Linked DNA regions of Arabidopsis thaliana. The protein of the gene in region 2 interacts with the protein of the main gene of each other region in a pairwise test. Each region holds a gene or a part of one and is shown on either strand. Other genes may lie near its edges. The genes, in order: ISPF, AT1G10590, WRKY60 and AT4G00980.

Evidence for each region.
Region 1: the proteins of AT1G10590 (region 2) and ISPF interact in a two-hybrid assay, tested with the Arabidopsis thaliana proteins (one large-scale study listed by BioGRID).
Region 3: the proteins of AT1G10590 (region 2) and WRKY60 interact in a two-hybrid assay, tested with the Arabidopsis thaliana proteins (one large-scale study listed by BioGRID).
Region 4: the proteins of AT1G10590 (region 2) and AT4G00980 interact in a two-hybrid assay, tested with the Arabidopsis thaliana proteins (one large-scale study listed by BioGRID).

The regions. Positions count from the first base shown.
Region 1 is NC_003070.9:23,737,027-23,744,801, forward strand, and holds ISPF (isoprenoid F), read right to left. Parts: upstream 3,359-7,775; 5' UTR 3,311-3,358; coding exon 2,980-3,310; intron 2,891-2,979; coding exon 2,760-2,890; coding exon of another isoform or gene 2,736-2,759; exon of another isoform or gene 2,722-2,735; intron 2,131-2,721; coding exon 1,897-2,130; 3' UTR 1,647-1,896; downstream 1-1,646. Other genes in the region: AT1G63960 (Copper transport protein family), read left to right, coding at 281-392, 1,158-1,480; AT1G63980 (D111/G-patch domain-containing protein), read left to right, coding at 3,620-3,697, 3,786-3,870, 4,168-4,244, 4,339-4,375, 4,466-4,626, 4,831-4,927, 5,015-5,175, 5,251-5,541 and 2 more; SPO11-2 (sporulation 11-2), read right to left, coding at 6,297-6,431, 6,561-6,688, 6,759-6,835, 6,911-6,973, 7,054-7,148, 7,226-7,354, 7,433-7,521, 7,597-7,734. UniProt on the Arabidopsis thaliana protein: Enzyme of the plastid non-mevalonate pathway for isoprenoid biosynthesis that converts 4-diphosphocytidyl-2C-methyl-D-erythritol 2-phosphate into 2C-methyl-D-erythritol 2,4-cyclodiphosphate and CMP. Is essential for chloroplast development.
Region 2 is NC_003070.9:3,497,798-3,504,975, forward strand, and holds AT1G10590 (Nucleic acid-binding, OB-fold-like protein), read right to left. Parts: upstream 5,619-7,178; 5' UTR 5,577-5,618; exon of another isoform or gene 5,573-5,576; intron 5,253-5,572; 5' UTR 5,237-5,252; coding exon 4,966-5,236; intron 4,718-4,965; coding exon 4,527-4,717; 3' UTR 4,212-4,526; downstream 1-4,211. Other genes in the region: AT1G10586 (basic helix-loop-helix (bHLH) DNA-binding superfamily protein), read right to left, coding at 1,462-1,599; AT1G10588 (Gibberellin-regulated family protein), read left to right, coding at 3,479-3,563, 3,671-3,858; AMSH2 (associated molecule with the SH3 domain of STAM 2), read left to right, coding at 5,968-6,120, 6,227-6,316, 6,629-6,691, 6,772-6,846, 6,940-7,002, 7,085-7,137.
Region 3 is NC_003071.7:10,625,425-10,633,163, forward strand, and holds WRKY60 (WRKY DNA-binding protein 60), read left to right. Parts: upstream 1-4,237; 5' UTR 4,238-4,387; coding exon 4,388-4,444; exon of another isoform or gene 4,445-4,538; coding exon 4,539-4,601; exon of another isoform or gene 4,602-4,805; coding exon 4,806-5,114; intron 5,115-5,197; coding exon 5,198-5,314; intron 5,315-5,401; coding exon 5,402-5,671; 3' UTR 5,672-5,989; downstream 5,990-7,739. Other genes in the region: AT2G24990 (Serine/threonine-protein kinase Rio1), read left to right, coding at 1-166, 411-539, 642-734, 841-920, 1,006-1,119, 1,355-1,428, 1,596-1,672, 1,780-1,863 and 4 more; AT2G25010 (Aminotransferase-like, plant mobile domain family protein), read left to right, coding at 6,267-6,350, 6,427-7,083, 7,173-7,322, 7,397-7,739. UniProt on the Arabidopsis thaliana protein: Transcription factor. Interacts specifically with the W box (5'-(T)TGAC[CT]-3'), a frequently occurring elicitor-responsive cis-acting element.
Region 4 is NC_003075.7:420,402-428,614, forward strand, and holds AT4G00980 (zinc knuckle (CCHC-type) family protein), read right to left. Parts: upstream 4,188-8,213; 5' UTR 4,180-4,187; coding exon 3,856-4,179; intron 3,739-3,855; coding exon 3,648-3,738; intron 3,534-3,647; coding exon 3,443-3,533; intron 3,292-3,442; coding exon 2,331-3,291; 3' UTR 2,077-2,330; downstream 1-2,076. Other genes in the region: CRK41 (cysteine-rich RLK (RECEPTOR-like protein kinase) 41), read left to right, coding at 76-286, 377-620, 712-862, 982-1,293; AT4G00990 (Transcription factor jumonji (jmjC) domain-containing protein), read left to right, coding at 6,634-6,828, 7,025-7,161, 7,250-7,349, 7,443-7,572, 7,655-7,718.

The DNA.
Region 1 (7,775 bases), about 20 Mb from region 2:
AAACATTTTTCTAAAAAAAATTTAAATCACAAAACACTATGATATTCCAACATTATGTTTTTTTTCTTCTCTGAATCCATTTAATGTGGCGGTTTGTTATTTGGGACATAAAGCATCATCGACTTGCTTACACGAATAAAAAAAGCACACCAACTTTTTACTGTGGACCACATCTTCTTCTCTGTTCTACAAAGAAAATGAAGGTAATGTGTCATTTGGTTTTCAAAGTACTGAAAAATGAGTCTTTTGAATTTTTATAGACTTTGGAGTATTTTGATTAATGGTTGTTCTTCTTCTAATCACACTTTCTCTACAGAAAATGGTGGTGATGATAAATGTTTGCGACGAGAGGTCTAAGGAGAAAGTCATCCAAACAGTAGCTAGCTGTTCAGGTGAACATGCACCAATTTTTTTCTTCTTTTTATTGCTCATGTGATTTTATTGAAAAGCCAAAGCTTTTCATTACACAAACTCTCTGGTTTTGAGATTCGTTGTAGGTTCTGTCGTTTTGAATTGAAACCCTACAAAAATGATTGCTGTTAAGACTATCTCCAACGATGGATCTAATTCTTCTGTTCTTTTAGTGAAAAGCCAAAAGCTTTTGCTTTTAACATTCACTCTGCTTTTTGGATCATTTAAGGGTTTGAATTAAAAACCTCAAAACTTGAAATTGATTTATGTAGTAATATTCATGAGTTTTTAATGAAAAAGCAAAGCTTTTCGTTACTCACATTCCCCTGTTCTTGAGATTTTTGATGAGTTTTGATTTGAAACCCTCAAAACTTTTTTTTGTTCTGTTCATGCGTTTTAAATTGAAAAGGCAAAGATTTTTCGATTACACACACAGACTCTATTTATGTGATTCTTCATGGGTTATGATATGATCCCTTAAATAATGATTTTGATTTTTCTTGTCTCGTTCATGATTATTTAGTGAAAAACCAAATCTTTTAATCACTCATTATTGAGTTTGAGTGTGAGTTTAAGTTTAAGTTTCTTCTTGTTAATGAGCTTTTGCTGCAAAGCTTTGAATAATAATAATACGTTCTGTTTTTGGTTTTCTTTATGGATTATGAATTGAAATCTCAAAAGAACCTACCACCTTGAAAAGATCTTCCTTAGTCTCAAGACCTAAATCTTAACACTTTTTATTCCAGGAATTACAACTATTACCATGGATTCAAAAGAAGGGAAGTTAACGGTGATTGGTGAGTTTGACGAAATGCAGATTCTCAAAAAACTCAAAAAGAGATGGGAGAGTGCGAAAATGGCTACATTTGGCCCGTTCGATCCGAAGAAGGAAGCGGAAACCGCTGCAGCTGCGGAAAAGAAGAAGAAAGAAGAAAATGAACGTGAACGTGAACGTGAACGTGAAGAAGCTCTTTACCGGTCTCAGTCTCACCATGACACTCCGGTTTGTCCAATGCATCATCACACTACTATTGTGTGCGATCATGATCACGGCTGTATAATCTCTTAAGATTTGCAGTATGTTAAGTCTCTGATTAGTCAGAAGTTGATTTTATATTGACGGGTAAGGATTATTCTCTGATCATTGATGTATTTATTTCAGTATGATATTATTATTCTCTGATTTTGATTTAAGAATTCATGTAGACAAGGAAAGCAACAACTATATGACAGACAAATAAAAAATTGTGTCACAAGGAACTTGCAGTCCAAGACACAGTTTCCAATTATATTCAAATCTGACCAAGGAACTAGGAATCACAATGAATCATCAACAAAATATGATTCGATTTTCTCTGCTTCTACGAAACGATTCGATTAATTAACCTTTAAAGGATGATTACACTTTACAATCAAAAGTATGTTTTTCTTAAAAGATGAGACACTTTAAGGAATATGATAAAGAGCTAAAATCAATTTTGACTTCTATTTCTTCATGAGGAGAATAACAGTGTGAGCTGCTATGCTTCTGTTTTCTCCGAGGCTATCAACTTTCTCATGTGTTTTGGCTTTCAAGTTCACTACAGAAGGATCTGCTCCAAGAAGCTTGGACAGATTGGATCGGATTGTCTCTTTGTGTGGACTAATTTTTGGTCTCTGGAGAATCAACGTCGCGTCTAGGTTTCCTATCTCATACCCTGCCTCGTCCATGAGTCTCACCTGAAACACAAAGTCAAATAAACCTCGTCTCAAGTTTATTGAATCATTCTTCATACCGACGAGAATCTAACATTTCTTCTGTTATATCTATATAACATCATTACAAGTGATTCAGATTAGCTTCCACGCAATCAACATTCACAGTCAATCATGGTGAACTTAACAAACACATTACGCCAAATGTGAACCCATAACTTAAAAGACAGGACAAGAAAGAAACTTTATAGCTTCAACCTTGAGTACCTCTACTTATCATCAATCATATGTGTTGAAATCTAACAATACAAAGATGCAGGAACCTAAAATTCAACAGAAAATTGAGTTATGCCAAGGCTTTTCAAGACAAAAATCATGTATACAAGAGTGATAAGCTTATAGATAGCATCGTTGAGTGATGACAACAGTTCAGGGATAAGATCTGATTTCCATATTTCTTCGACTTCCTATAGATGAAAATAATTTACTCAAGAGTATTATTAAGCTGAGTAAATCCCATCAACTTATGGATCTAGCTTGAATTCTGAACCATTCTATAAAGTACCACACACAAAATAAGGCTTAAAGAAGAAGTAGCTAATACTGGAACATACACACAAAATTGAACATCAAGGTAAGCGTCGAAATCTTACAGCTTCTTTGATGAATACAGAAGAAGCAGCTCCTTTCCATTTAGGATCAGAGTCAGGGAAAATCTGACCTATATCTGGAAGGCCTAGTGCTCCCAAAATTGCATCCACTACACAATGAAGTAACACATCGCCTACACAAATTCCAACATCAAACTCAAATCAAAACCCTAAAATCTACAAGAAGACGAATTAACCAAATCGAATTTCAAGAAATGTTTACCATCGGAGTGAGCTTCGCAGCCTCTATCATGAGGAATAACAATCCCACCGATGATCAGAGGATACCCTGGCTCTAAACGATGTAGATCGAAACCATGACCGATTCGAAACGGAAGCGTTTTGGTTGGTTTCTCTGAAGTCACAGATTCATTGACGTCGACGGCGGAAGAAGCAGCTGAAACCGAGGCTGAAGGACGACATGATAACGAGAGAGACTTCTTCGGTCTCCAAACGCCGATCTTCGTCGCCGGGAGAAGGAATGGCTTTTTGGTAATTTGAGAGTGAAACAAAGAAGAAGAAGACAGTAGAAGCTGAGTAGAAGAAGTAGCCATTGCCGTTCTTCTTCGATTTTCTGGTTTACTCAATTCATAATTCTGTGGTGGAAATATTCATTTCTTTATTGGGCCTTTCCTTCCTAAAGCCCATTTAAAATATGATAAACTCTCGACCGTCGATCATGTTACATATCCACTGAAGTTTACTAAAGACCACGTGTAGAGGAGTTTTACTCATCACTTCTTCGCTTTAGGTTTTCTGTTCCAGTTTCTCTAAACTTCCTCGCCCACTCTTCTCTTCCGCACCGCTTTTGAAAAACGGCGACGCATTGTCTCCATTCAATCGCCGGAAAATTAGAAGAGAAGATGGCGGCGCCGGAAGCTCCGGTTAAGTACGTCGGAATATGTAAGGATTCCGCCGCTTTCAAGCTTATGAAATCGATGGTGAGTGAATTTTCCTGTAATGATGTTAATGTGTGTAGAGATTTTATAAAGGAGAAGACCTAATTTTTTGGATTGGTGATTTTTTTAGGGTTGGGAAGAAGGAGAAGGACTTGGTAAAGATAAGCAAGGTATCAAAGGTTATGTGAGAGTTACGAACAAACAAGATACATCTGGTTAGTTTCTTCTTCTTCTTCTCCTTAATGGAAACTAGTGATTTGAATTTTTCTCGGTGGAATTTAGATTGGAGGAAACTTTAATAGAGCTACTTTTCACTTACACTAAAAAACAACAACATTATTTTCGGTTTTTAGGAGGAAATGTCTGTTTACATAGTTTAGTTTATGTAATTTGGTGAATGTGAAGTTGTGGAATCAAGATAGAGCTACTTTAAGCCTTTTGTATATTTGTGTGGTGTATATGCATCTATCGTTTATGTTATAGGTCTGAATTTTTTTAAAATGTTGGAGCAGGTGTTGGTCTTGATAAGCCAAATCCATGGGCATTTGATACAACTCAGTTCGATAACATTCTCAAGAAATTGAAAGTGGTAATGGCTGTGTTCATCTTTCGTTTTAACTATGCTCTTTGAAATATTTGAAATAATTTCAATCTTTTTGTGTATGTGTGTGTGTTATTTGCAGCAAGCTGCTCCTACCAAGACTAGCAAGAATGATGATGGTATAAGTTTTTCTTATTAAGTTGAGTTCTTTCTTGACTTAGAGAAGCTTATTTATCCTAATGATTGTTGTTTTATGTGGCATACGATAGATTCAGATAAGGAAGATGAAAGTGAAGATGATGCTGTCAAATCTGAGCCTGCCAAGTTGAAGACCGTTGCTAAAGTCACTCGTCCACAAGGAAGGTATAAACGTAGAGAGAAAGGGAAGCTTGTCAATTCATACTCGTCTAAAGATCTTGAAGGAATACTGGTAAGCTTCCTTTCAAAACAGTTCTGTCCTGTCTTTTATCCGCTCATGATCAAGATTCATGTTGATTAGAATGGATCATAACTTCTACATGTACTGTGAACTTGTGCATGTTGTTAGAATTTTCTCTGCTATCACCATTATGTAAACAAATCTCATTATGAAAGTGATAGTCCGACTTAGGCACGTTATTTTACTGTTTTGTAGGTTAAGCGAACTGAGGATCCTTCTCCTGCAGTTTGTGACATAGCCGATTCTATGGATATTGAAATTATATCTGAGGACCAAGATGCTAGTATTAAAGGTGATTAGTTTGTCCTTGCATCTTGAAATTGTGACTTTCTGCTCTTTTTTTTGAACTGAAAATGTATGGATCTTTTGGACTGAACAGAACAGAAAATTGAAGAACCTTCTTCGAACTGGTGGGGATTTAAATCCGGGTTTGTCTCGGGTGGTCTTCTGGGGGCCAAGTCGGGCAAAAAGAAATTAAAAGCTAGCGAGAGAAAAATGTTTAGTGAGAATGATCAAGAGAATCTTTACAACATGGTTCAGGTATGTTCTTTGCAGGCTGTTCTTGGAAAAGAGGTTGGGATCTAATAATATATTGACGTTTTGGAATGTCTGTAGGATAAAGCCACAGCGGGAAAACAAGGACTGGGTATCAAAGACCGGCCAAAGAAAATAGCTGGTGTTCGTTACGAAGGGAAGAAAACCTCTTTTGATAACAGTGATGATGATGATGATGATGATGATGATGATGACGAAGAAGACGAAGAGGAAGATGAAGACGAGAGTGAAGCAGATGATGATGACAAGGACTCTGTAATTGAAAGTTCTCTTCCCGCGAAAAGGAAGCACGATGAAATCATTGAACCCAAAATCAAGTTAAAGAACCTGTGCAAGCAGATTGTTAAAAAGGTTCGTTGTCAATTTATTTTGAACTGTCATTGTATTCTTCTAAAACATCCCACCACTCATATCGACTTATATGTATATGTGCAAAAACATTCTTAGGATGCTGGTAAAGGTGGATTCATGAAGCTGAAACAGCTAAAATCTCTGATCGATGAACAAGCACCATCAGTTCTTTCAGAGTTTTCTTCAAGAAAAGATGCTATTGCTTACTTGAAACTTAAGGTAATGCAATCTTAGCTAATCTTTATGCCAAATCTTCGTATAGAATCTACATTAAGCGTATGAAATTCATTATATTTGAGATTAAAGAAGTGTGATAGTGAAGTTAGTAAACATAATCATTTTAAAGTGGGATTCTCATATTCTACACAAAGTTCCAAAGTTTGTCATTCTTACTGATATTGTTCTAACGTCCTTGTTGCAGCTGGAGCGAAGTGGCAAGTTTGTTGTGGAGGGAAAGAAGATTAGTCTTGTATCAAGCAAGAAGTGAGCGAGAATTTTTGGTTGGAATTATCATTATACCTGCATAGGAAAGTGGAGATTAGGACAAGTTTTGTTACTAAATCATCACAATGCCATATGTAAACAAAGATCATACTTCAGTTTGGAAAATTTTGATTTGATTGTAATCTATTTTTACATTCTATTAGAGTTTGCATAAAACTTCACCCTAATAAGTTACTCTCTTATATTTGGAACCAATATAAAGCAAACGCATCTTTATTGGTGGAAGACCTTACATGTTGGTGTTTTAAGTGTTATATGTATTTGCCTTGCACGATCTTGGTAGCTATATATTTACCGAGATAATTATAACCATGACAATAGAGAGCTTCAATTTCCGCTCTTTTACCAGTTTGAACCATCAGTGACAACTCCTCTATGTAGTTTTCCTGGTCAGAAGCAAATGTCAAAATCAATTAGGGTATAAATGATAGATTATAGATTCGAATCTTAGAATTGCTTCGGCTTGACCATTACATCTGATCTCTGCTTATAATGTATAATGTATAGTTGGTTACCTGCAATATTTTGGAGGACAATAAGCTCTTAGCAATCTGTGAATCTTTTGGCTTTAAGGGAACCAAAGACTCTTCTGGTATCAGATTCAGATCATCTCCTCGGAGACCAATCCACTTCACATTGCAAGCTAAAGAGGATGCAGAAATTATCATTGTAGAGACTTGGAGATTATTTGGTGCAAACAGCTAAGTCTTTACCGTATCTGTATGCTTCAAGTCCCATCCCTATGCTTCCAAACTTGAAGGTGCATAGTATAGCTAACCCAGCTGGATTCCTGACCTCTCATTTATGAACATATGAGCACTAAAGTTTTATGTTAACAAAGAGGAAGATGTTTATTTATGCTTACCAATCAACTAGAACAAGAATTGGCAGATCAGGAAAAGTTGTGCTCATCCGGTGGAGGAAAAACCTAAAAGATTTAACTTCCAAGCTACTTAATACCACTGACTACATTGCAATATGGTTTTGTAACTGAGTTGAAGAATTGACCTTGTGGCAATATCCGGATACCCTTTCGCTGTGATGAACACGCAAGGAATGTGATTGAACACACGATCTTCCACGAGCCGATGAAAGATCGCATGCTAAAAACAGATTCTAGGAGTGAGTTACAGACAATTACGACATCTCTCATATGTGCTTGATTACATCAAGAAGCTACCTTTTCCACAATAATGATATAACGAGCATCAGTTCTCATGATGGTATTGTCTAGCAAATTCAAGTCTCCAGTTATAGCAAAACCTGAAGAACCACAGGCCGAACAATCTACAGCTTCCTTACCTGGTTCCTGAGTGTAAAGTAAAGAAATGGTCAGAGATCACAATGTTAGCTACATAAGGATTGCTAGAAGCAAGTAATAACTCACTTGTAGAAATAACCTTCCAGCAACAAGGCCTCTGCTTGAAGCCATAATACCAAGACTGTATCTACTACAACGTAGAAGTGCTACCACATCTGCTAAACCAAAGCACGACCAAAAAATCAGCTCAAAAACTCTTTAATCCAAATGCAATTAAGCTTTAGATTGACCTTGGACACTTCTGTTAACTTCAATCTGAGATGAAAAGTAATCAGGTGAATCACAAAGCAACTTATAGAAGAGCTCTCTTTGTGTGACTCGTTTCTCTTGAAGCAGAATCTGAAAGCATATTTCCATAACTTTCCACACTGTTTCAATAAAATCACAACCATTTTCTCATACCATTCTA
Region 2 (7,178 bases):
AATTAGTATATATAAAAGTTCGTAAATTATATCTATCTATAAAATATATTTATTTTACAGTTTACAACTGTTATTAAGTAATGTCCTTTCAAACCCGTCCCGCCAAACCCGTCCCGTAAAAAAAAACTACAGTACATCGTTGATTTAAATATATAATTAAAATAAATATTTTACGGGATTACAATTGTACTTTAGTTTGTCAAACAATTTTTGTTTTAAATAGTTGCCGAAATCTAGTTTAAATTTTGGAGAAATAAGATTTAGTGAATTGATAAAAAAATGTATTTAAGTGCGTTTTGCTCATTTTAAGGGATTGCAATTGTATTTTGGTTTGCCAAACATTTTTTGTTATAAATAGTTACCGACATTTAGTTCAAATTTTGAAGAAATCTGCGTGATATATGAGATTGTAATATATTTGAAATAGTTTTGAGAACGATGATTTTGTTACGTTTTAATACATGTACATTTTACTAACTGAAAATATGAGATTGATTATTTGTATAACACGGAAAATATGAGATTGATTCTTTATATTACAATGAAAATGAATGATTCAAAACTAAAGATCATAGTGTAATATAGTTTAGCTTAGAAAATAATTAAAACGATTTTATTTATTTATTTAGTTTTCTAAATTTTAGTTTAGATTCAGAAAATAATTGTTTAATTTCCTTAGAAGATGATAAACATATATGGAAGATTTGAATCTCTATATATTTTAAAAATCAATCAATAATGTCAATATAATTAAAGGATAGATTAGAAAAAAGTTTCTTGAATGCTAAATAATTAATTTGTTATTTATAAACAAAATATTAAATGCTGTAAAAACGAAATATTAAATAAATATGGAAAGAAAATTCTACCTTAAAATATTTTGTACTATTAAAACCGATTTTTTTTTTGCAGCAAATTAAAACCGAAAATTAATAAATACTTAAGAGAGATTTTAGGAATGATTTTTTTGAAGTAATGTTAGACTTTTTTTGAAGTAATGGTGGATTTAATATAGAGACATTTTAGGCAATATTTTTGTTAGGTAAATATTTGATTTAAAATGTCGATTGAAAAAAATAAATTCAGTGGCATTGAGTCGTAAATAAGTTCTAAGTCCAGGATTTATTTGTTAAAATGACTGCAAAAATGTATATATAGATATGAATCATTTGTTTTAACTCTACACTACATATAATGGTCCTAGCTGGCTTGTACTAAATACTGAGAACCCTAGCTAAATGCTGCACTTTGATTGATCTGGTTCAAATCAAGATGATTATCCCTTGATCAGTTCTTTGATTGATCTGGTTAAAATCAAGATGTCCATAGGATTTTCGCAACATAGCCCTTGCCTAAGCGTCTAGGCGCTTAGACAAAACCAACACATACATTACATCTACGAAAAATTATGTACTCTGTATATATAAACAATAAAATACATGTAGAGAGAGAGAGACGGACCCTACGAGTGGGAGAAACATGAGAAGAGAGTATGGAGAAGAGATGTTTCATGCGCATTCGTCGTTCTTTCTCTCTGAGGTTTCGTTGTTCCCGTAATGACGATGCGCTTCCTTCTCCTATTTCTCTCGCTCTTTCCATTCTTCTTCTTTTCCTTTTTTAGGTTACTATGTTTAATTCCCTCTTTCCAAATCCATCTCTCCCTCTATAAATATAAAGAGATAGAGAGAAAGAGCCGCGTAATTTTAGATGAAAATGATGTTTTTCAAAGAAAGTCATGGCTTTTCTGGTTGCGTCCATGAGCTTACACACTACTTAATTTATACATATATATGCTTCTTTTACTTTGTAAGTTCCACTCTTAGAGATACTAAACATGTCCAATATGTTTTTTACTTACTTGGTAAGGTTTTGTTGGACACATTTCTAGAACCTAGATAGTGTTACGCTAGGTTTTGTTCTAGTGAAGCTTGTAGAAAATGTGCTTATCAAAATCATTTCAGCAGAACATAGTAATTAAATTAGTCGGATTATATGTGATGAATTCTTCACATAAGTACCATGTTTGGATCGACAAAAACAACAAGGGAATTTTTTTGTTATACCATGATAATTATGTTGATCATTTGTAATAGGCTAGATAAAATTAAAGATACCTTTAAATGATAATGTAACAATTCCATGTTTAATTAATAGGTGTCCATATTTATTATCCGAATTACACTATACAGGTCACATATGCTAAGACAATTTGGTGTCAAAAACGAAGAATCTAAGATTATTCAACAAGCTATCATTATTCCTTACCGATATAAAAGACTTTGAACTATTTTTTGGCCGTAAAGCTGACATATTTCACCGGAGATGTCGTTCAATTATACACTTGACCAAGTCTTATTCTAATAACAAAAATAATAATTATACACGTGACCAATTCTAGATTGAACTTTCTAACCAATTCTACATGAATCGTTCACCGAATAAAAACAAAAACATAAAATTAAACCTCGCAAAATTGAGTCTTGGAGCCTTTGCTAATTTCTTGAATACTAAAAGCAGATCACTGTTGATCTACATATAATTATTTATTTCTGTTGTTCGTTATTTATCCATAACCAAACCATGATTAGAACTAAATCAGTTCTGTGGATGCGGTAAAACAATCTCTTCGTCGAATGACCCCAACCAAATATTCAAATGTACACTTGCTAAAACCCGGTTCATTGGTAGTCCGGTTTGGTTCGTAGTATTTGAGTCAATTTCATATCCCTAGATGTTATGCAGAATTTTGCCACCTAGACCGAACAGAGCGTTTTCAAAACTTGGAAAGGAAAAAACACAAAGCATTTAGAACATGATGGAACACATGTTAGCCGCAAAGAAGTAAAAGAAGAAAACCTTCATTTTGTCTTCTTTCCTTGTTTTGCAAAATCGTCCAAAGGAATAACTTGTGTATATTTATCTGTTTTTGGGTATAAAAGATATATATATATATATCGCCTAGTCGTCGCTGCTTGTTGTTGTCAAGGCACACATGTTTATTCTTTATTTTTGTCAAATATTTGAATCAAGATCAGCTACTATTCTAAGAAACTGGCTATTTCTAAAATAACACTCACGAATTAGCCATTATTTATAAAATGGTAACGGTATATTCGAGATTCCAGTCCATACATGTTATTAATAAAGAAAGATTGGATCTCCATATAAAAAATAGCTGTCTCTTACATTGTAGCACTAGCTAAAGATCTTTCAATACTACGTACCTAGTCATACAATTCTTTGAATATGGTTTTAAATTGTATGTGAATATTATTAAGTGAGAATAGTATCGACATAACAAGTATGAAATCTTTTATTTCTATATATTTTATTTAACAACCTATAACAAACATTTCACTTCAAATTCTCACTATATGTAGTCCATCATCAACTACTTTCTTTTCGCATATCTTTGAAGTTTTTGGTTTTACTAAACTAACTCTATCATAAAAGGAGAAAGCTTTAAATTTAACCAGAAATGAAGATGCCCGTGGTTGTACAATTCTTCATAATCTCTCTTCTCCTCACATCTTCATTTTATGTACTTTCAAGCGCTGATTCATGTAAGTGTATACTTAATCTAGTTAGTTATTTTTTAGGTTATTTATCATTTTGAAACTAGTTGTCTGAAATTCTAAGATTTGATTTGTGATGGTGATAAATGAATTAGCAGCATGCGGTGGAAAGTGCAGTGTGAGATGCTCAAAGGCAGATCGAACACATGAGGAGTGCCTTGAGGACTGCGATATATGTTGCCAGAAGTGTAATTGTGTTCCTTCGGGGACTTATGGAAACAAAGATGAATGTCCTTGCTACCGTGATATGAAAAACTCCAAAGGCGGATCCAAGTGTCCTTGAACATTCTTTGAAGATCCTCATCACATACATATTATCTACGTACTATATGTATGGAAATTACATCTATATATGTTTGATGTATGAAATAAGTTCTGTGAGCTTAATGAAAATTTTGTTATCTTCAATCCGATTCCTAAACACATCAAGAATAAATCATGTCGAGGTTTATATTTCTCAGCTTCAATTTCACTAAACGAATAACTTGGGATACTATGATGGAATGCAGAATTGAGAATTTACTCTCTCAATTGTCTTAAATTCATAATCCAAGATCTACAAGGGGTAAGTATTAGGACTAACCGATTAAGGGTTTAATAATTATGTAATTCAGAGACTCTAACGCTTTGCATCGACCAAATACTACATTGTAACATAACACAAACTCATTGGATGTGAAAGTACAAAGTAGTATGTCTTTATAATAATTTGTTTCCAAGGAAAAAAGACGAGAACAAAAACTAAAACAAGAGAAAGATCATCCCATGATATTTAAATAGAGAATCAATCTACAAAAAGACGGCAACCTGATTTTCAAAACAAGAACAGTAGATCAGAGGCAAGCCGGATAGTACATAAAAAAGACTCAAACCCAAACCAAAGAGGCTTTCTCCAACTAGAACGTAAGTCTTTTTTTGAGTCGCTCTGTTTTCGTTTGTGGAGGAACCATATCAAGTTTCGACGCTCACAAGCTCATACTCGATCAGCGAAAGATTGTTATCATCCTTCACGGTGATGTCTGTGGGCTCCTCTGCAACTTCAACACGTCCCCATCTATCAACTGCAAGCCTCATAGAACCCTTGTACATGTCGATCTTCGCATTACGCAGAGTCACTACACTGCCTTCTTTCATCATATCCACTGGATAAAAATGAATAATAGCATCAGTCATAAATCTATAAAAAGTACATGAGAAATACTCAAATTATGCAAACAACTAACTATTTCCATAAAGCAATCCACTCTCCTGCTATTATCTGTTTCACAGATTCACAACCAGTATAGACTATAAAGATGCCAACTTAGAACAGAAACTTGCCATTAAAGAAGCTAACTGAGAAGAGAAGCAGTCTCTTAAAAGACCATCACAAAAGCATTTATTCTCTCACCTTGGTCATTTCTTGCAGTAAAGATTATGATTCCAGTCTCATCACCAACTAAGCATTCGGCAATCCGCATCTGACGTGACTGAGGACCCATGGGACGACCTCCTCCTCTCTGCATCACCATCTTCGTGTTGACAACTTTCACATTCAGAGAGTGGCCATTGGTTCCTGGTCTCAACTCATTAACCTTTGTGAACACAGGCTTCCTCAAAGCAGACGTTGCCTCAGCCATTTTTATAACAACCCTACAAAAATTAGCCATAAACAACAACATCTGCTGTGATCAGCACCTAACAACAATTTCAATATCTGATTAGACAATCAAAACCTCAAATGCGATCAAACAGGTTTAAGCTATCCTCATTTCTCACATAAGAAACGTTTTAACAATTCAACAAAACAATTTCATTCTCCATACACAACAAATTCAATAAAACGCAGCAACATAGATAATGAAAGCTAAATTACACAAAAGATCATATACTTTGATCCCAGAAATTCACGGAATCTCAGATCGGAGAAATGAAATTGACGTGAAGAAAAGTGTAGTAACGTTAGGAAGATGGAATTGAAACAAGAAAAAAGCTAGCTAGGGTTTTTGGAAACTCACGTACTTTTTGATTTTGAGAGAAGAGACGACGACGATGACTTTAGCGATTAGATCTGTGGAGGCGATATACACAAAGACGCGGCGGTCTTCTTTATAACTCTAGAACTCAGATATTAATACTCACCGTAGATCCGTGACCTCAACACGTGTCATGTTTCTGAAACATCTTCATTAAAACTACCCTTATATTTTTTTATATATTTAAGATTGACCTTATAACTTTGACTAATACTGATTACACCCTCTATTCTCCGAATCGGTTATCAAAACCAATTTCACTGGACCGTGATATCAGAAACCGGTTCACTGAGGTGGGCGAGATTTTTTGTTGTCACTCTCCTCTCCTCGTTCTTCGATGCTCATCCATTAGAGGAGGAGCCGATGTTTCTGCTTCCATGGTAACGCTCTCGTCTCCATCTCCCTCGCTCTCTTGCGTAGAGAACGTGACATGTAAATCTTCTCACGTTTCTCGGGTTCTAATCTCCGGTACCGATAATATTAATCACGGTGAATCGTCGGAAGCCAAAATACTGAGAGATGTTCATATCGTAAGAACTTTGAGATTTTTCTTTGAATCTCAGTTCTCTGTGATTTGGTACGTTCAATTACGGATATCTAATTTGAGTTAATCGTTGTTGTGTTTGTGCTTCTTAGTCAGAAAGGTTATTGGAGGATTTCACTGAGCTTGCAAGAGAGAACACTGAGAAGGACCTCGAGACTTGTGGGACTCTCGCTGCCTTTCTTGTAAGATTGTTTTGCTTTCTTCGCATTCAAGTTGATTACTTTGGGTGATAAGAGAATCTGGGTGGTGAGAAAATCAAGGAAAATGTTAGAAAGTTTCAGACTTTATTGTTCCTAATTACAACTTCTAACAGAGATCTTTGCAAATTTGAATTTTTAGTGAAACTCGATCTATGCTATTGTTTAAAGTTTACACCTTGTTTTGACTTTTGTGGTCATGATTCATGGTTGTTTTGCTTCTGTTCCAGGGTTCTTCGTTTTTCGAGTTTCATGAACCTGATGGTAATTACATTTCTATTTCTGTTCATGCTGTAGGAAAGAGGAATTTTTTATGTAACCACTCTGATAATACCTAAGCAAGAATCAACTTCTAATTCTGTGAGTTATCTTAGAAAGATTATCTCGATCATTTTGTGGTATTCAAAATGAGGTGCTTACTCAGGTGCTAAAATTGGCAGTGTCAGGCTATGAATGAAGTGGAAGTGTTTTCCATTCAAAACGAAAGAGAACTCTATCCCGTAGGATGGATTCATGTATATCTCTCTCTTCTAGCTCCCTCCATGTTTAGTGATCTGTTTATCTACTTTGTCTTGACTTACTATAACGAGGTTATGCATATTTTCCAGACTCATCCTTCTCAGGGTTGTTTCATGTCATCTGTAGATCTGCATACACATTATTCGTATCAGGTACATCTCTGCTGTTTCCAAATTGCATATATACTAGGTTTGAGACAATTCTGATCTCAGTTTCCCATCATGTCATTCTTAGGTAATGGTGCCAGAGGCTTTTGCAATCGTCGTAGCTCCAACTGATAGCTCTAAGTATGTTCTTCCAAAGCTATGGAGTCAATTATACAGTCAAC
Region 3 (7,739 bases), on a different chromosome or scaffold from region 2:
CGACGGAAAAGACGATGACGAGCTAATAGGTGGTGGCTTTTCCCTCCATGCTCGTCGTCCTAATGCTCACGGTGGACATGGTTCACGTCCTAACTCTAGTTCTCTTCAACCTATATCAAATAAAGCCCAGAAGCTTACTAGTCATGTTCGTGCTTCTCCTTTAGAGGTAACGTTTCTTATCAAATTGATGTTTTGAATTTGAAAAAGCTTCTGGATTACTTATAAAGATATGATGTTTTGAATTTGAAAAAGCTTCTGAATTGCTCATAGTCTCTGCTCAAATGAAACATTGTCAAAGCTTCTGAATTGCTTATAGGGTTTAAGTTCAGGTAGGTTTTGTACTTGTAAAGTGGAGAACTTTGTGGTATATTGTAGCTGGAAATGTGATTTGAGATAAACTGGTGATGCAGGGATGGGAAGGAAGAGTTAAAGTTGGGATGTCGAATTCTGTGACAACTGCGATTCGTGGAAGTCTTAGAGATACAGAAATTGGGAGAAGTAGGAATACTGATAAAGCTGACCGGGCAACAGTTGAACAGGTGAGGTCTAACTGTTACACAAAGATTCGACGAAGATTCGGGTCTGATCATTTATCAAGTGTTTTCTGCAATGTGTTGATGTTGTTTTGTTCTTTGCTACAGGCTCTTGATCCAAGGACTCGTATGGTTTTGTTTAGAATGCTTAACCGGGGTGTGTTTAACGATGTTAATGGATGTATTTCGACAGGCAAAGAAGTATGTCACATTCACTACTCTCATATTTGATGGTTTAGCTATTTAGTCAAGAAGATGATCTGTTTGGATTCCTTTGTTGAAAGTACTCTCTTTTATTGTTTTTCAGGCTAATGTTTATCATGCCACAAAATCTGACGGTTCGGAACTTGCAATAAAAGTGTACAAGACATCTGTTCTGGTTTTTAAGTAAGCTATTTACATGAATAATGTTGTTTATCAGTTCTTCTAAAACTCTTAACTTAATCCCAGTTTTCAACTTTGATGATTTCAGGGATCGAGATCGATATGTACAAGGAGATTACCGTTTTAGATATGGCTACTGTCGTCACAATCCCCGGAAGATGGTGAAGACATGGGCTGAAAAAGAACAGAGAAATCTTAAGAGGTAGCCTATAATTCTTTGTGGGTGTGTGCTGGATAATTGTATTGTACTTAAGTGAATTAGAATAAGAAATCTTGGAAGTCCCTCTCTGCTTACTAATCCATATGAAATCTAGTTAGTGTAGTTTGATTTACCTTATTTTTCAAACAGAAGCCAGAGATGTATTCACTTTTTTCAAATATATATAACAGTAATTTTGGTGATTTCTTAGTTGGTTATATACATTTTTCACTGGCAGGCTTCATGCAGCTGGAATTAGGTGTCCAGCTGTTATACTTCTTCGCCTTCATGTGCTAGTCATGGAGTTTATAGGTTCGCTCTAATGCATTATCTGCTGTTTTAATCACTGATTCCAGGCATCTCTTCTCCATTCACTCTAATTCATCTGTATATTTGACTGAAACAGAGAAATGATGAATTAAAGGGTTTTCAGTTACCTAATCCAATTTACTAAGAATGTTTTATTTATATAATTGCAGGGAGGGATGGTTGGGCTGCACCGCGTCTCAAGGATGCTGCATTATCTCTAGACAAGTTGCGCGAGTGCTACCTAGAGGTATGTCTTATTTTCTCATTTAGAGGGTCCTGAGTGTATTATGGCATTACAGTCAGGATTCATCTCTTTATGGTCTCTTTACTGACATCCTTTTTTCTGCATTTCAGTTGATAATTCAAATGCGAGTATTATATCAGAAGTGCAAATTGGTGCATGGAGATCTCAGTGAGTATAACATACTTTATTTTGAGGTGAGTTTTGATTCTTTTTCTTTAGGGATCTCTTCGGTTTTACAAGGGTCACTTGAACAAACAAGAGAAGACAGATATAATGATATTGTCTTGACTTTGTCAGGGGCACCTTTACATAATTGATGTTTCTCAATCTGTGGATCTGGACCATCCTCTTGCACTCAACTTTCTACGGGAAGATTGTGACCATGTCTCGGTAAGTGTCCTGTTTTAACAATGCTTAATTTGACTGGTATAAGGTGTCTGATGTGTGGAATATTTTGACAATCACACGCAGGATTTTTTCAAAAAACATGGTGTGGCTGTCATGACAATACGGGAGCTATTTGACTTCATAGTTGACCCGGCAATTACAGACGAAAATGTTGATAGCTATTTGGAAGAGGTAATGTATGACTTTTTATATGGATTGTCCATTGAATCAGTGGGCAGCTTTAAATTAATGAATTATGTAACAATGGGCAGGTCCAACGAAAAGTTATAGAGCGAGGAGAGATATCCGTAGAGGATGAAATCGCGGATTCAGTATTCATGAAGGTTAGTTAAGAGTGTATCCAGTTGTGTGAACTGATATGTGAAGTTGTCTGTAGAATAATCTTAATCTTACTGGTTTGTTATTGATGTTCAGTCATACATACCGAAATCTCTGGATGCTGTGAACAACCCTGAGGCTGACGTGGCTAAGATAACAAGCGGGCAGGACACAGGAGACATGCTATACCAAACGATAACGGGGCTTAAGGATGCTCTTCCTAAAATAGAAGAGCAGAAAATAGAGGTGAATGATGAAGAGAAAGAAGAGGAAGGAGAGGAAGAAGAAGACGGAGAAAGTGAAGAAGGAAGTGAGGAAGAAGAGAGTGAAGAAGAATTGGGTCATGAAGACAAGAAAGCTGCAAGGAAAGAGCACAAGAAGAAAGTGAAAGAGGAGAAACGAGAGTCTAGGAAGACGAAGACACCCAAATCTGTCAAGAAGCGAAAGAAGAAAGTCTCTAAACCACACAAGACTCGTTAATCCGAGTTAGAAGTTTTGACACCCCAACTTGTATTTTTATTTATATTTTGAAATTTTGTGTCAAATTCTGGGAAATCGAGTATGGACCCAAAGCTCTCTATATTTCCAAAAATAGCAAGTTCTTGTAATATTCATAGTATGACTTTATTATAGAGCCCGAAATTGGTTTGCTGCTGTTTCAAGAATAGGATTCAAATTTCTGTTCCTTTCCTCACATCCCTAACCAACTTGACAATTCGAATAATGGTTGTGTCTAAATTTATCAACTCAAGTTTTGAGATTGTTGGCTTATAGTATGAAAATTCTAATCCTGCAACTAGTTTATTTACAACATTTTTTCTTTGTTTAATGAGTTCTTGATTTTATACAGTTTAGTGTTTATGAGCTTTTCTTCTTAAGCCTCTGTTTCCATAGTTTATATCTTAATACGTGTTTTCTCTTTCTTTTGGAGCTTTGATTATCTCTTTTAAACTATGTTTTCGAAGATATCTTTGTTTTCTGCCGGTTTTGTAAGATCGGAAAATATATTTTTATTTTATAATATTAATAAAAAAGATGACAAAACAAAAAATAATGATTTTCTTTCAAACTTAATGAACATAAAAAAAAGGGAAACGAAATCTTATTTTGCCTAGCTGACATAATTAACTAATGCAACTAAATGTAGGTAGGATTAAGTAAACAAAAATATGAGACAAAATTAAACATGCCAACCTCCAGGGCATAGTCAATGGGTCAAGTCAAGCGAAAGTTGGTCTGGATCTTACAATGCAACTTAATGTAAAGTACTCATTTTTCTTCGACATGGGACATCCGCCGAAATTGTTGATTTTTGATCCATCTTTACACTTGTTTTCTCCGATTACAACAAAACATAACAATTCGACTACGATTTAACACCTAACCTTTTTAATTTTTTAGGACACGCATTTAGTATTTACGATGCAAGCCAACAAATTTAATCCAACGTATTAAACACAACTTGCTTTTTGTCAATACGTATTAAATTAAATAGTTTTCTTGCAATTTTTGTTTACACATTTCATTAGTATTGTTTTTTTCCAATATTTTTGTTTCTATGTTCAATCACTATCATATGCATAATACACATTATAATTTTGGCACAATTAGAATTACACACAAGGATTTTATAAATGTTTTTAAAATGATTTACAAAAGATTTTATAAAAATTTTACAAAAGTTTTTAAAAGATTTAATAAAAGTTTTAAAACGATTTTACAAAGAGTTTTAAAAACTTTTAAAGGTTTTAAAGAAAGTTTATGAGAATTTACAAGAATTGTAAAAGATTTATAATAATTTTTTTAGAATTAGAAAGGAGACCCTCATTTTCCACCCAAATCGTCAACCTTCTCATAATTGACAAGTTATTACACTCTCTCCACTTACTAGTTACTATAAAACCAAAGGAGACCAAATCTCTTAGCAATTATGAATTTGGTCTTCGCTATAATCTCACGTTACATTAAATTGGCTCCTGTGAACCTAAATTTATGGACTATGATCCCAACACCAATCCGTTCGACCTTCATTTCTCCGGTAAACTTCCGGTGAGTTTTTCAATTTCTTCGAAAATTTCACTTCAATTTTCGAGGTTGTGGTGATTATTCGTGGTGTTCATATATATTTTATTGCCTGATTTAGAAAAGAGAAGTCTCGGCTTCAGCTTCTAAAGTTGTAGAGAAGAAATGGTTAGTGAAAGATGAGGTTAGTTCTTTCATCGAACACTTTGGTGTGCAATACTTTGACCTCAAAATTTTTGACTATGAGTGAATGGATTAGGTTGATCAAGTTCTCATATCTGATTTAGACATTGAATAGTTTGTTTAGATCGGTGATGCTCAAAAGTTGAACAAATCAAAGCTTTGTCTTACAGCTTAGTTTGGTAATGGTGATTTTCATTTTACACAGAAGAGAAATATGCTACAAGATGAAATAAACCGGGTTAATTCGGAGAACAAGAAGCTAACCGAAATGTTAGCAAGAGTCTGTGAGAAGTACTATGCTCTTAATAATCTTATGGAGGAGTTGCAGAGTCGAAAGAGTCCTGAAAGTGTTAACTTTCAGAACAAACAGCTAACGGGGAAACGAAAACAAGAACTTGATGAGTTTGTTAGCTCCCCAATTGGACTCAGTCTCGGACCAATCGAGAACATCACCAACGATAAAGCGACGGTTTCAACCGCTTACTTTGCTGCTGAGAAGTCTGACACAAGCTTGGTAAGGAGATTTCTACTACAAGTATCGTTCTTTGAGTGTATTGATTTGTTAACGAATGTTTTGTGGATATACGTTACTTGTAGACTGTGAAAGATGGATATCAATGGAGGAAATACGGGCAAAAGATTACGAGAGATAATCCATCTCCTAGAGCTTACTTCAGATGCTCGTTTTCACCGTCTTGTCTAGTCAAGAAGAAGGTACTTTGGTTTAAACTTTGTTAAAGAGTTCTTCGATATCATCTTGCTGTCTGATTAAATTCCCTAGTTGTGTGTGCGCTTGTTTAGGTGCAACGAAGTGCAGAAGATCCATCTTTCTTGGTAGCCACTTACGAAGGGACACATAACCACACCGGACCACATGCAAGTGTGTCCAGGACAGTGAAACTTGATCTAGTTCAAGGTGGGCTTGAACCAGTTGAGGAAAAGAAAGAGAGAGGGACGATTCAAGAGGTTTTGGTGCAACAAATGGCTTCTTCGTTGACCAAAGATCCTAAGTTCACTGCAGCTCTTGCGACTGCTATTTCCGGGAGATTGATAGAGCATTCAAGAACATGAAAGTTCTCTAGAACATGTATATTTCTGTTTTGTTCTATTTTGTTGCTCATTCCTAGTAAAAAGGTAAAGATTTGTTTGATCTTGATTAGGAGGCATAGATGTCAATTTTAATGTGTGTGTATATAATTACATCAAATCTAAGTATCCAAAAAGGGTCACCCCCATTTTATCTTATGTTGAAAGAGTTTTGTTATAGCTCGGTGTAAGTATGGTAGATTGACGCTGCTTCGACAGTTTATGTATCTTCCAATGTTATCTTGTTCAGTTGTTTGTATTAACTTCCATTAGAGAAGAATGTGATGCCATTACAGACATAAAAGAAACAGAGAAACCCGGAAACAGAGTAAAACCACGAAAAACAGAGTCGGTTTAAGAGAACCAAACCAAAATAACCGGTACAGCTATAAAAAGCCAAGAAGAAAAATTATGAACCGAGTCCAAATTAGGTTACGGTTAGCTTCCAATCCCAACTTCTTCTTCTTCTTCATCTGTGTTTAGTCCCAAATTGAAGAATCAAAAGTTTCGTGTTTTGAGAATTTGACAAAAATTTGTTTATGTAATCTTAGTTTTCGCTGATTTTGAGTAAGTTATCGACATGGATATTGATGTCGGACCAGTTGATCCATCTGTCCTATACGAGCAAGACCTCCATGTTTCTTCTGCTGTTTGGGAAGGACAGGTTTTTTTCTTAATTCCCTTGCTAAATTTCAGATTTTGAATTTAGGGTTAATCTTATTTCCCCTTACTTACCTTAGGAACGAGGTCTACTTCGTTGTCAAGAACACACTTCATTGCTACATCAATGGAAACTCACTGATGAACAAATTAACCTCGTGGACAAAGCTGGTTTCGGTTACTTTCGCAAAATCGGTCCAATGAGTTTAAACAATTCACTGATCTCTGCACTTGTTGAGCGATGGAGAAGAGAAACCAATACTTTTCATCTTCCTTTAGGAGAAATGACTATAACCTTAGACGAAGTTGCTTTAGTACTTGGACTTGAGATTGATGGAGATCCCATTGTTGGTTCTAAAGTTGGTGATGAGGTTGCTATGGATATGTGTGGTAGACTTTTAGGGAAGTTACCATCTGCTGCTAATAAAGAAGTTAATTGTTCTAGGGTTAAGCTTAATTGGCTTAAAAGAACTTTCTCTGAGTGTCCTGAAGATGCTTCTTTCGATGTTGTTAAATGTCATACTCGAGCTTATCTTTTGTATCTTATTGGTAGTACCATTTTTGCTACTACTGATGGTGATAAAGTCTCTGTTAAGTATTTGCCTTTGTTTGAGGATTTTGATCAAGCTGGGAGATATGCTTGGGGAGCTGCTGCGTTGGCTTGTCTTTACCGAGCGCTCGGTAATGCGTCGCTTAAATCTCAGAGCAACATTTGCGGTTGTTTGACTTTGCTACAGGTTGGCTTCTATGTTAGTTTTGGTTTTCTGTCCAGTTGAGATTTCAATATCTTTAGGAAATGTAACATATGATTGTCTCATGTATATAGTGTTGGAGTTATTTTCATCTGGATATCGGTAGACCCGAGAAATCCGAAGCGTGTTTCCCGCTTGCTCTTTTGTGGAAAGGTAAAGGAAGCAGATCCAAAACCGACCTATCTGAGTACCGCAGAGAACTGGACGATCTTGATCCTAGCAAGGTAAACCCTTCAGTTCATCCTTATGAATTTTGTATTGCTCTAAATGTTAATAATTGATGGTTGTGAAAATGCAGATCACTTGGTGTCCATATGAAAGATTTGAGAACTTGATTCCACCACACATTAAAGCCAAGCTGATTCTAGGAAGATCGAAAACGACTCTTGTATGCTTTGAGAAAATAGAGTTACATTTTCCAGATAGGTGTCTGAGGCAGTTTGGGAAACGCCAGCCGATACCTCTGAAAGTAAAACGCCGCGACAGAAAGAACCGTCGGCTTGATGACTTGGACACGTCAATGAGTCTAGCGTGTGAGGAATGGGCTGAACGTGGGGATCACATCGTGGACAGTCCTGGAGGTGGCAATGTGGTGGATGATGGAGCTTACATGGAATGGTATGCTAGGATCAGTATCACCA
Region 4 (8,213 bases), on a different chromosome or scaffold from region 2:
GAGACATCACCTTAATTTTGAAACCAAGCACTCCAAAGACTTGATCTCTTTGACATGTGTTTAAATAATCACCAGGGTGTTCTTGATTATGGGGAAGAGATAGCTGTGAAAAGATTGTCAATGAAATCAGGACAAGGAGACAATGAGTTCATAAACGAAGTCTCATTGGTTGCAAAACTCCAACATCGTAACCTTGTTAGGCTCTTAGGTTTCTGCTTACAAGGAGAAGAACGAATTCTCATCTATGAGTTCTTCAAGAACACAAGCCTAGACCATTACATATTTGGTACCTTAAACTAAACCCCAAACAAATGTATCTCTCTATTTATAGTAACTTATTTAATGATTGATCCAAATTAGTTGTTTTCTTTCGCAGATTCTAATAGGAGAATGATCTTAGATTGGGAAACACGTTATAGGATTATCTCAGGTGTTGCTAGAGGTCTTCTCTATCTCCATGAAGATTCTCGTTTCAAGATTGTTCATAGAGATATGAAAGCCAGCAATGTTCTATTGGACGATGCAATGAATCCGAAAATCGCGGATTTTGGAATGGCAAAGTTGTTTGATACTGACCAAACAAGTCAGACCAGGTTTACAAGCAAAGTTGCAGGAACCTAGTAAGCTACCATTTTAAAAACTACCCTTTAAGTTATTATCAATTCTGTAAAACTAAAATGAAAGCCAAAACATTATTTGCTCGTTTGGCAGCGGTTACATGGCTCCAGAGTATGCAATGAGTGGCGAATTCTCGGTAAAAACCGATGTATTTAGCTTCGGTGTACTAGTCCTTGAGATTATTAAAGGTAAGAAAAACAATTGGTCTCCAGAAGAAGACAGCTCATTATTCCTCCTTAGCTATGTAAGTGAATAAAACTCTTGCTTTGTTTTTTTTGACTCTAGACTTTGAGTTTGGGGTTGTAATTGAGGACTCATATATTGTCTTGATTTCAAGTCATATATTGTCTTTTATACGTATAGGTATGGAAGAGCTGGAGAGAAGGGGAAGTGTTAAACATTGTGGATCCAAGTTTGGTTGAAACAATAGGTGTCAGTGATGAAATCATGAAATGCATTCACATTGGTTTGTTGTGTGTTCAGGAGAATGCAGAGAGTAGACCAACAATGGCTTCTGTTGTTGTAATGCTCAATGCAAATTCTTTCACTTTACCGAGACCCTCGCAACCCGCATTTTACTCGGGAGATGGAGAATCATTGTCAAGAGACAAAAATCAGATAAATCATATTGCATCTTTGAATGATGTTACAATTACCGAGTTCGATGCTCGTTAAATTTGTGTGTAAAAGACAAAAATGAAGATTTCTGTTTGCTTTAAAGTTACACTTCAAAATGTCAAATGACGTTTGAACTTAAAATTCTTTGTCCTAATGAAACCATAATCTCTAATTATTGGGCTTGAACATATATGGGCTTTGTTAACAATGTAGGCCCATTAGTGTTTTTTTCCTCGTGTAGGCCCATTAGCTTATGATTGCTTTTTCTTAGGAATTTTGCGTCCCACATCGATAAGCTAGTGGAGAAACGTTTTCTTTATATATGGATACAAAGCATCAATGGTCACGACCTTACTTGAACTATAGGCTCGTACATCTGTTTTCTTGAGAAAATTTCTCAAGAGACAGGCCCTAAACCCTTGTTGATGAACCGTGACCGTGCGGCTTGAGCGTGATTGACGGCTACGATTGTCCTTGGATGCATCCGGTGCTGTAGAGGATGGTTACTCGGCTCGGTTCTCCCTTGCCGGGGTGGTCGCACGGCGGTCTGACAGGTTTCATTTTTTTTCCTTTTCACCCTGAAACTTTTAATTTCTTCTATTTTTCACCCGCTAATTTTATATTACTCTCCATCTGGTCCTTTTTAAAATTTCGACGTTCAAGTTTAATTTTAGAGGCTGAGAATATCTTCCATAACGCTTGGGACAAAGAAACTCTTAATTTTTGGTTGTGTGTTAAGTATTGTCACCTCAATTGATGTCAGTTTATTTGTTTGTATATCAGTTTTGAGGTTTCTGTTTTTATTTTGGTTCCTCAAAATAGGATTTAAAAAGCAATTTTGACAAAAAAATTATCATTCATAAAAGTATACTTTTACATTAAATCAGGCCAAAACTGATCTATTGGTCATCTCTCTGTTCTTCTTTTATACATTTCAGTGTCATAAATCTAATAGGCCAGACATATGGACAAGCTGAAAAAAGGTCATAAAAGGACTGCTTCTGAATCCTGAATCAACGGTATTCAAAAGACTTACCTCTTTAAGTATATCTGTGAAGAGATATAAACATTTTGGCTTCAGCAATCATCAACTACTACCCCCTATCATTGTTTGTTGTTGCTTGAGTCTCTGATTCCACAGGTGCAGCGACTGAGGAGTTGATCCGGTTTGATTTTCCGGAAGCTCTCTCATCAGATTTACTACCCCAGCAATGCTTTGCGAGATGTCCTTTCCTCCCACAGTTGTCACAGACGATGATGACTCTCTCGTCTCTCTCAGGTTCTTTCCTCTTCCAACCTACGCTCTGAGATCCTCTATGTGTTGTTCCTAGACTCGGTGTCCTTTCCATCTGAGAGGAGCCTGTGGCTGGTCTATATGTAACCCCTTTTGCTCCATTTCTGAGAAGCTCTTCCTCAGCTTTTACTCGTTCCATCAACATCCAGACTGGTAAATACTCCTCTTCCATTAACCTGGTGCAGAAGCCTCTCCAAGACGGGGGAAACTTGGAGATGATGGTACTCACATGAAATGCCTCATCAAGAAACATACCAGCACTCACTATGGAATCCGCAATCTTGTTAAAGACTTGGACTTGCTCGAGTATCGGTCTCTCTTCCACCATTCTGAATTCAATGTACTTTCTGACTTGTGACCTCTTCGATTTGGATTCATCACACTGGTAGACCCATTTTAACTCGTCCCACAATTCTTTGGCATGCTTAAATTTCTGAGAGTATCGACGGTATAGATGATCTGACAAGGAGTTCATCAAGTGAGTATAGCACAGGTAATCATCTCTCAACCATTTTTTCCCCGTAGCATCAGCTCGAGTTATTTCCCTGGGGTTGGTTTCAGGGCCTTGAGAGCTACCAATACTGGGACAAGGTTCAGAGAGTACATAAGTCAGCTTCAATTGCTTCAGAAAGAGTTCCATCTGTGAAGCCCAGTAAAGATAACTCTTTCCATCAAATCGTGAAATCTTGATAACAGAAAAACCGTGAGAGCTGTCCTTATCCACAGCCTCAGAAGTATCTCCATTTCGTGCTGCTTCAGATCTGCATAACGTTTAATAGCAAGATAAGCAGCCTACATTGCTAGCCAGACAGTAATGCCCTATGCCACGATGATTATATGACCATAAAACACTAAAAGCAATGCCAGGGAACATGAATCTTTATAGACTTAAAATAAGGTACACATTCTTACTTTAGTTTTGATTGGCACTGCTTAATACCGTCCTCTATCGCTGCAAAATTCTTCTTGATTACAGACCATTGGTTAGTTGACAAATGTGCTCCTGACAGAGAAGAAACATCTAACAATTGAAATCAACAGGAGCATATCTAAAACAAAAATGGCTACTTATAGCTTCATAGTCAAGACCAAGACACCAAGTTGTGTTTCAAATTACCTCTAAAAGCCTTTCCATGTTCCTGAGAACCAATCGATAGAAAAGGTTGGCCTCTGTATCTTTGAACCGTCGCATTTTGCTTCTCCGATAACTACAGTTAAAGACCAACAATTTCTACAGTGACCACTGAAAAACTCAAAATCGAGATGATCACAATCTCTACTCTATACAGTGAATCAAACATAGAACAAATAGGCAAAGTCGCAACCTTACAAATAAAGCGCTCATCTTCACCACCAACGGAAGCGGCAGCAACAGAAACTGTCTCATTTTTCGCCGGAGCCACCGTCTCCGGTACGAGTGCTTCACCGGGAGTCGATAGCAAAAAGACCTCAAGAACATCTCTGACTAGCTTCTTGTGATTGGTTCCCGATAAGTCGATACCGAGTTTAGCCGAAGCGTCAAGTCGGAGTTTGAACTCCGTCATTTGGTCCATATCAGATTCACTGAGTATGCTCTTCACTGTTTCCTCGATTTTTTGTGTAGCGACAATCTCCATAGTTTCACCAGAATCAAGCAACGAATTCTCCATTTCGCCCGAAAAAGAAGAAAAAAAAGGATAAAGAAAAAGATTTCGCAGTAGCGTCGAGTTTTGGTTGTTGGCCGGCGTTATATTTAGGGTTCATAAATCGCCGGGGGAAAAAATTTGGCCGGAGTGTGAAAAAAAGAGGTTCTACCGAGAATTGAACTCGGGTTACTGGATTCAGAGTCCAATGTCCTAACCGCTAGACCATAGAACCTTTTTGCTATAGCTGTTGCATTTAATACTTTATATATGCAAATATATATATATGAGTTTTTTTTCCTTATCTATATATCTTTTCTGTTTTATAATACGATATATGAATACATGGGTGAGATACGAATACGATTGAGAAATATATGGGTGAAATACAGTTTTTCTTCACGAAGCCGATAAGATACTAAGAGTCGAATCCTTCTAGAAACTAAACCGACAGAAAGCAAATTATTTTTGAAAATTAAGCTCAAACAAAAGAGGCTAAATATAAAGATAGCAAGGTAATAGTCATTAACATTTGTTGTGAATAATCTAGTTTGGGCTAATGTTAATCTTGTTTTACTTGTCTTCTCACTGCATTGCAGCTTAAGAAATTAGTATTGCATGCTGCGAGCTCAGACTCAGCCAGAGGGCTAACCCAACAGATTTTGATGCCTAAAACATCTTTAAGCTCATTTAAAATTCTTAAGCATTTTAAATCTATTTATAATTAAAGTCTCAAAAAAACGAAGGTAAGGTTCGAACTGTCCACGAAAGAGTCACTAATCTATGAAACAATCACTAGACTACGAAACATTTTTAAAATTTGATGCCCTTTAATATTATCTATAATTTTAGGCGCGTAAAGCATGAGTTTCACCAACTTTAGCCCAGGGCCGGCCCTGCTCAGCCATAAGAGAAGCAAAAGATGTAATGCAAAACTCCAATACGCAGTAATGATAACAAAAAAAAGTTTGTTCGTTAAAGCTTATCAATGCTTACAAAACATCAAAACCAACTTGACATGTGATGGCAGTAACAAAATCGAGAAGGCGATGCTAAAAGTAACTTCATAAACTAGATTGATCAAAAGTACTCATAGCTTCGGAATCAACATAAGACACCAAATATGTTCAAGTCACCTTTAAAAGCAAGTTAATAGCCAACAAACAATGTGCATTTCACATTTCGCTTCTCCAATAACTAATGCCTAACAATTTACAGAAAACATCACTTCTTTCCTCGACAATCCATTGTATTATTTTCGTGAAATGTCATCATAGAAGAAGCACTTAAAATGAAAATTGGGTTGGCCCATGAATTTGAATTCTCTAACCCAAGACCAAAACCCATAAAAGTTATTTACGACCATCGAACCACTTTTTTTTTTTTTTTTTTAACGGCAAACATTTTTCTATTAATTAGCCCAAATGGGCTTCATAAACAGGTACAACTTGAGGCCAAAAGCCCACTAATTGCAAACATTAAATAGACAATATGATGACACATGTATGCAATGTGGAGATTGCAGCGTAGATCAACGTTTCAGCACATGCCCCGTCACTGCTTCGCCGGAGAAATCTTCCGCCGGTCAGCAAATGATTCAGCTCCTCCATGAAACTTTCTACCCACATTTAGTTGTACCGAATGCCTTTTGCCAAGGATCACCGGAAATAGTCTATTGGAGTTAGTTTGGTCACCGGAAATTTAAACTTCAGCTGATTAGGATTAGAATATTCCTTGGAGGACCATTAAAACATGACGTGAACCCCAACTCGTCATACTCTTCTCCAATCAACCACAACACCTTGATCTATCATCCATGAAGAACCGATGCCCTTACGCTTTTATTAGCATAGCGAGGAATTTTCCTTCACATGGAAGAGTAATCAAGCATCCAATGAACACATTTCCATCTAAAAACCTCCAAGAATTAAACATCTTCTAAAATTGAAAGTGTTGATTTACAACCTGCAAAAGGCCTTATAAAAAACCGGCAAAGAAAACCGAAAGAAACTCCGAACAATTCGGAAATTAAAACCGGCAAGATACCGGAAACAAAAGAAAAGAAAAAAAACTTAAATGAAATCCGATTTCAATCGGAGAAAATATTAAACAGAGTTTTCCTCTCTCTCAAAGATACCAGAGAGAACCACTTGGTTAATTAAAGAAAATCTATTTTAACCGGTTGTTTAAAAAATAGTTAAATTTGGAAAGAAAACAGAAGTTGAAACGGTAGAATAGTAAAAAGTAATGAAACGTCTTGTTCCCTAATTAATAATTACTTACGATTCACGAAGTAGACTTTAAAGCCCATACTACCCTCTGGACTGTGGCCACGTCACTCTCCTTTAACTACTTTGATAGTCCCAAAGCTGCGACGGCGATAAATCGATGAATTAACGACGTTCGAAGAAACTCCAGAGGTCTCTTCATTTTCCTTTTGTATACTGGTAAAAATTGGTGGTCTCTTCTTTGTCTCCGAGTATGGAGAAAATGAGAGGGAAGCGAATCAGACCAAGAGATTCCGGCGAGTTAGTCGAAGATGGGAGATCTGAAAGCGAGCGTAAGACGAGGAAGAAAGAGAATGATGTTGTGAGCAAAGGAAGAATCGGAAGAGGAAGAGGAAGAGGAGAGGTTTCGAAGCGATCTATTGAAATAGACATTTCTAATCCCGAGAAGGTTAATTCCTTTCTATAATTGCTTCATTCAAATAGATAGATGAATCTCTTTCATGATTCTGTGGAGTTGTTAAAATTTGCTTTCTCATGCAATTATTTAGCTGCAAAATTTGTGTGAATGTTGTTTATTTCGATTTGGTGAATTTTATTTGTTCGGATGTGATGAGAATATGTTTTTGGAACCCTAATTCTCCCAGGATATTAAGCCTGACGGAAGCAGAAAGTGTTTGGGTTCGACGTGTCATCATTGTAAGATCTTGACGAGTGAGAGTGATCTTATCTTCTGTTCAAAGTGTAACAAGAAGTGTTATTGCTTTGACTGCATCAAGAGATCGTATGTATCTGCACTGTTCAGTATTACGTTATACTAGTTTATGATTTGCGGTTTCCAGGAGAGTTTTAACTATTTTGAATCTTGATAGGTATTCAGAAAGAACACATGAGGAAGTTAGAGCTGCTTGTCCATTCTGTATGATGACTTGCATTTGCAGAGCTTGTTTGCGGTTGCCTTTGGTTATCAAGGTAAGTGGGCTTGAGATCACTTATTTCTTGTGGATCTACTGAGATGAAATGTCTCCTTCAATATGATTTTTTTTTTTTTTTTGTGAATCTCAGCCTCCAAGTGAAAAAGATACAGATGTCAAGCTTAAGCAGCTGCAGTATCTGTTAGTCAAAGTTCTCCCAGTTCTTAAGGATATTTATACGGAGCAGAACCGTGAACTAGAGATTGAATCAACAATTAGAGGTAAGGCTCTTTGTCTTCACTTGTGCTATCCTCTTATTTCTTCCTCTTTCTATTCTCCACTCACGAACCTTTTTTATTCTAGGACACCCTGTGACAGAAGCTAATATCAAGAGGTGCAAACTTGACCCAAGCGAACGCATATACTGGTAAGATTCCAAATCTCTGGGAGCATCTTTTTGGCTGATCTTTTATCTTGGGGGAAAACCAATGTTATTGAATTTTCATACTGTTTTTTGTATCCTTTGCAAATAGGCAGAGAGCAAATTAAAATGTACCGATTGTCACCAGTTTCGTGAGGAGATTTGGTAGCAAACTAATTGTTAAATGAATGGAATATAAAAGGAATGATTTGGGGGGAGTAATCAGGGTGGTTTGATGGGTAGATGACTGAAGAGATTATGATCTTATTAAGTATCTTCATTTTTATTGTATTGTCATTTGATTTAAAGGACATTGTCATTGTTATTTTCATAACTGTCTTTTAACGTTATTCCTTTTTCATGTATTTTCATTTGAACGAAAATAAGCTTCATATCATGTTAAGCAATGGGCAGAGAGTTGTTTTCATCATTATGAGTGTCATATGCCCAAGGAAGACAAGGGTTCTATACCTTGTTGGGCTACTTTTGGTTATCTTTGGG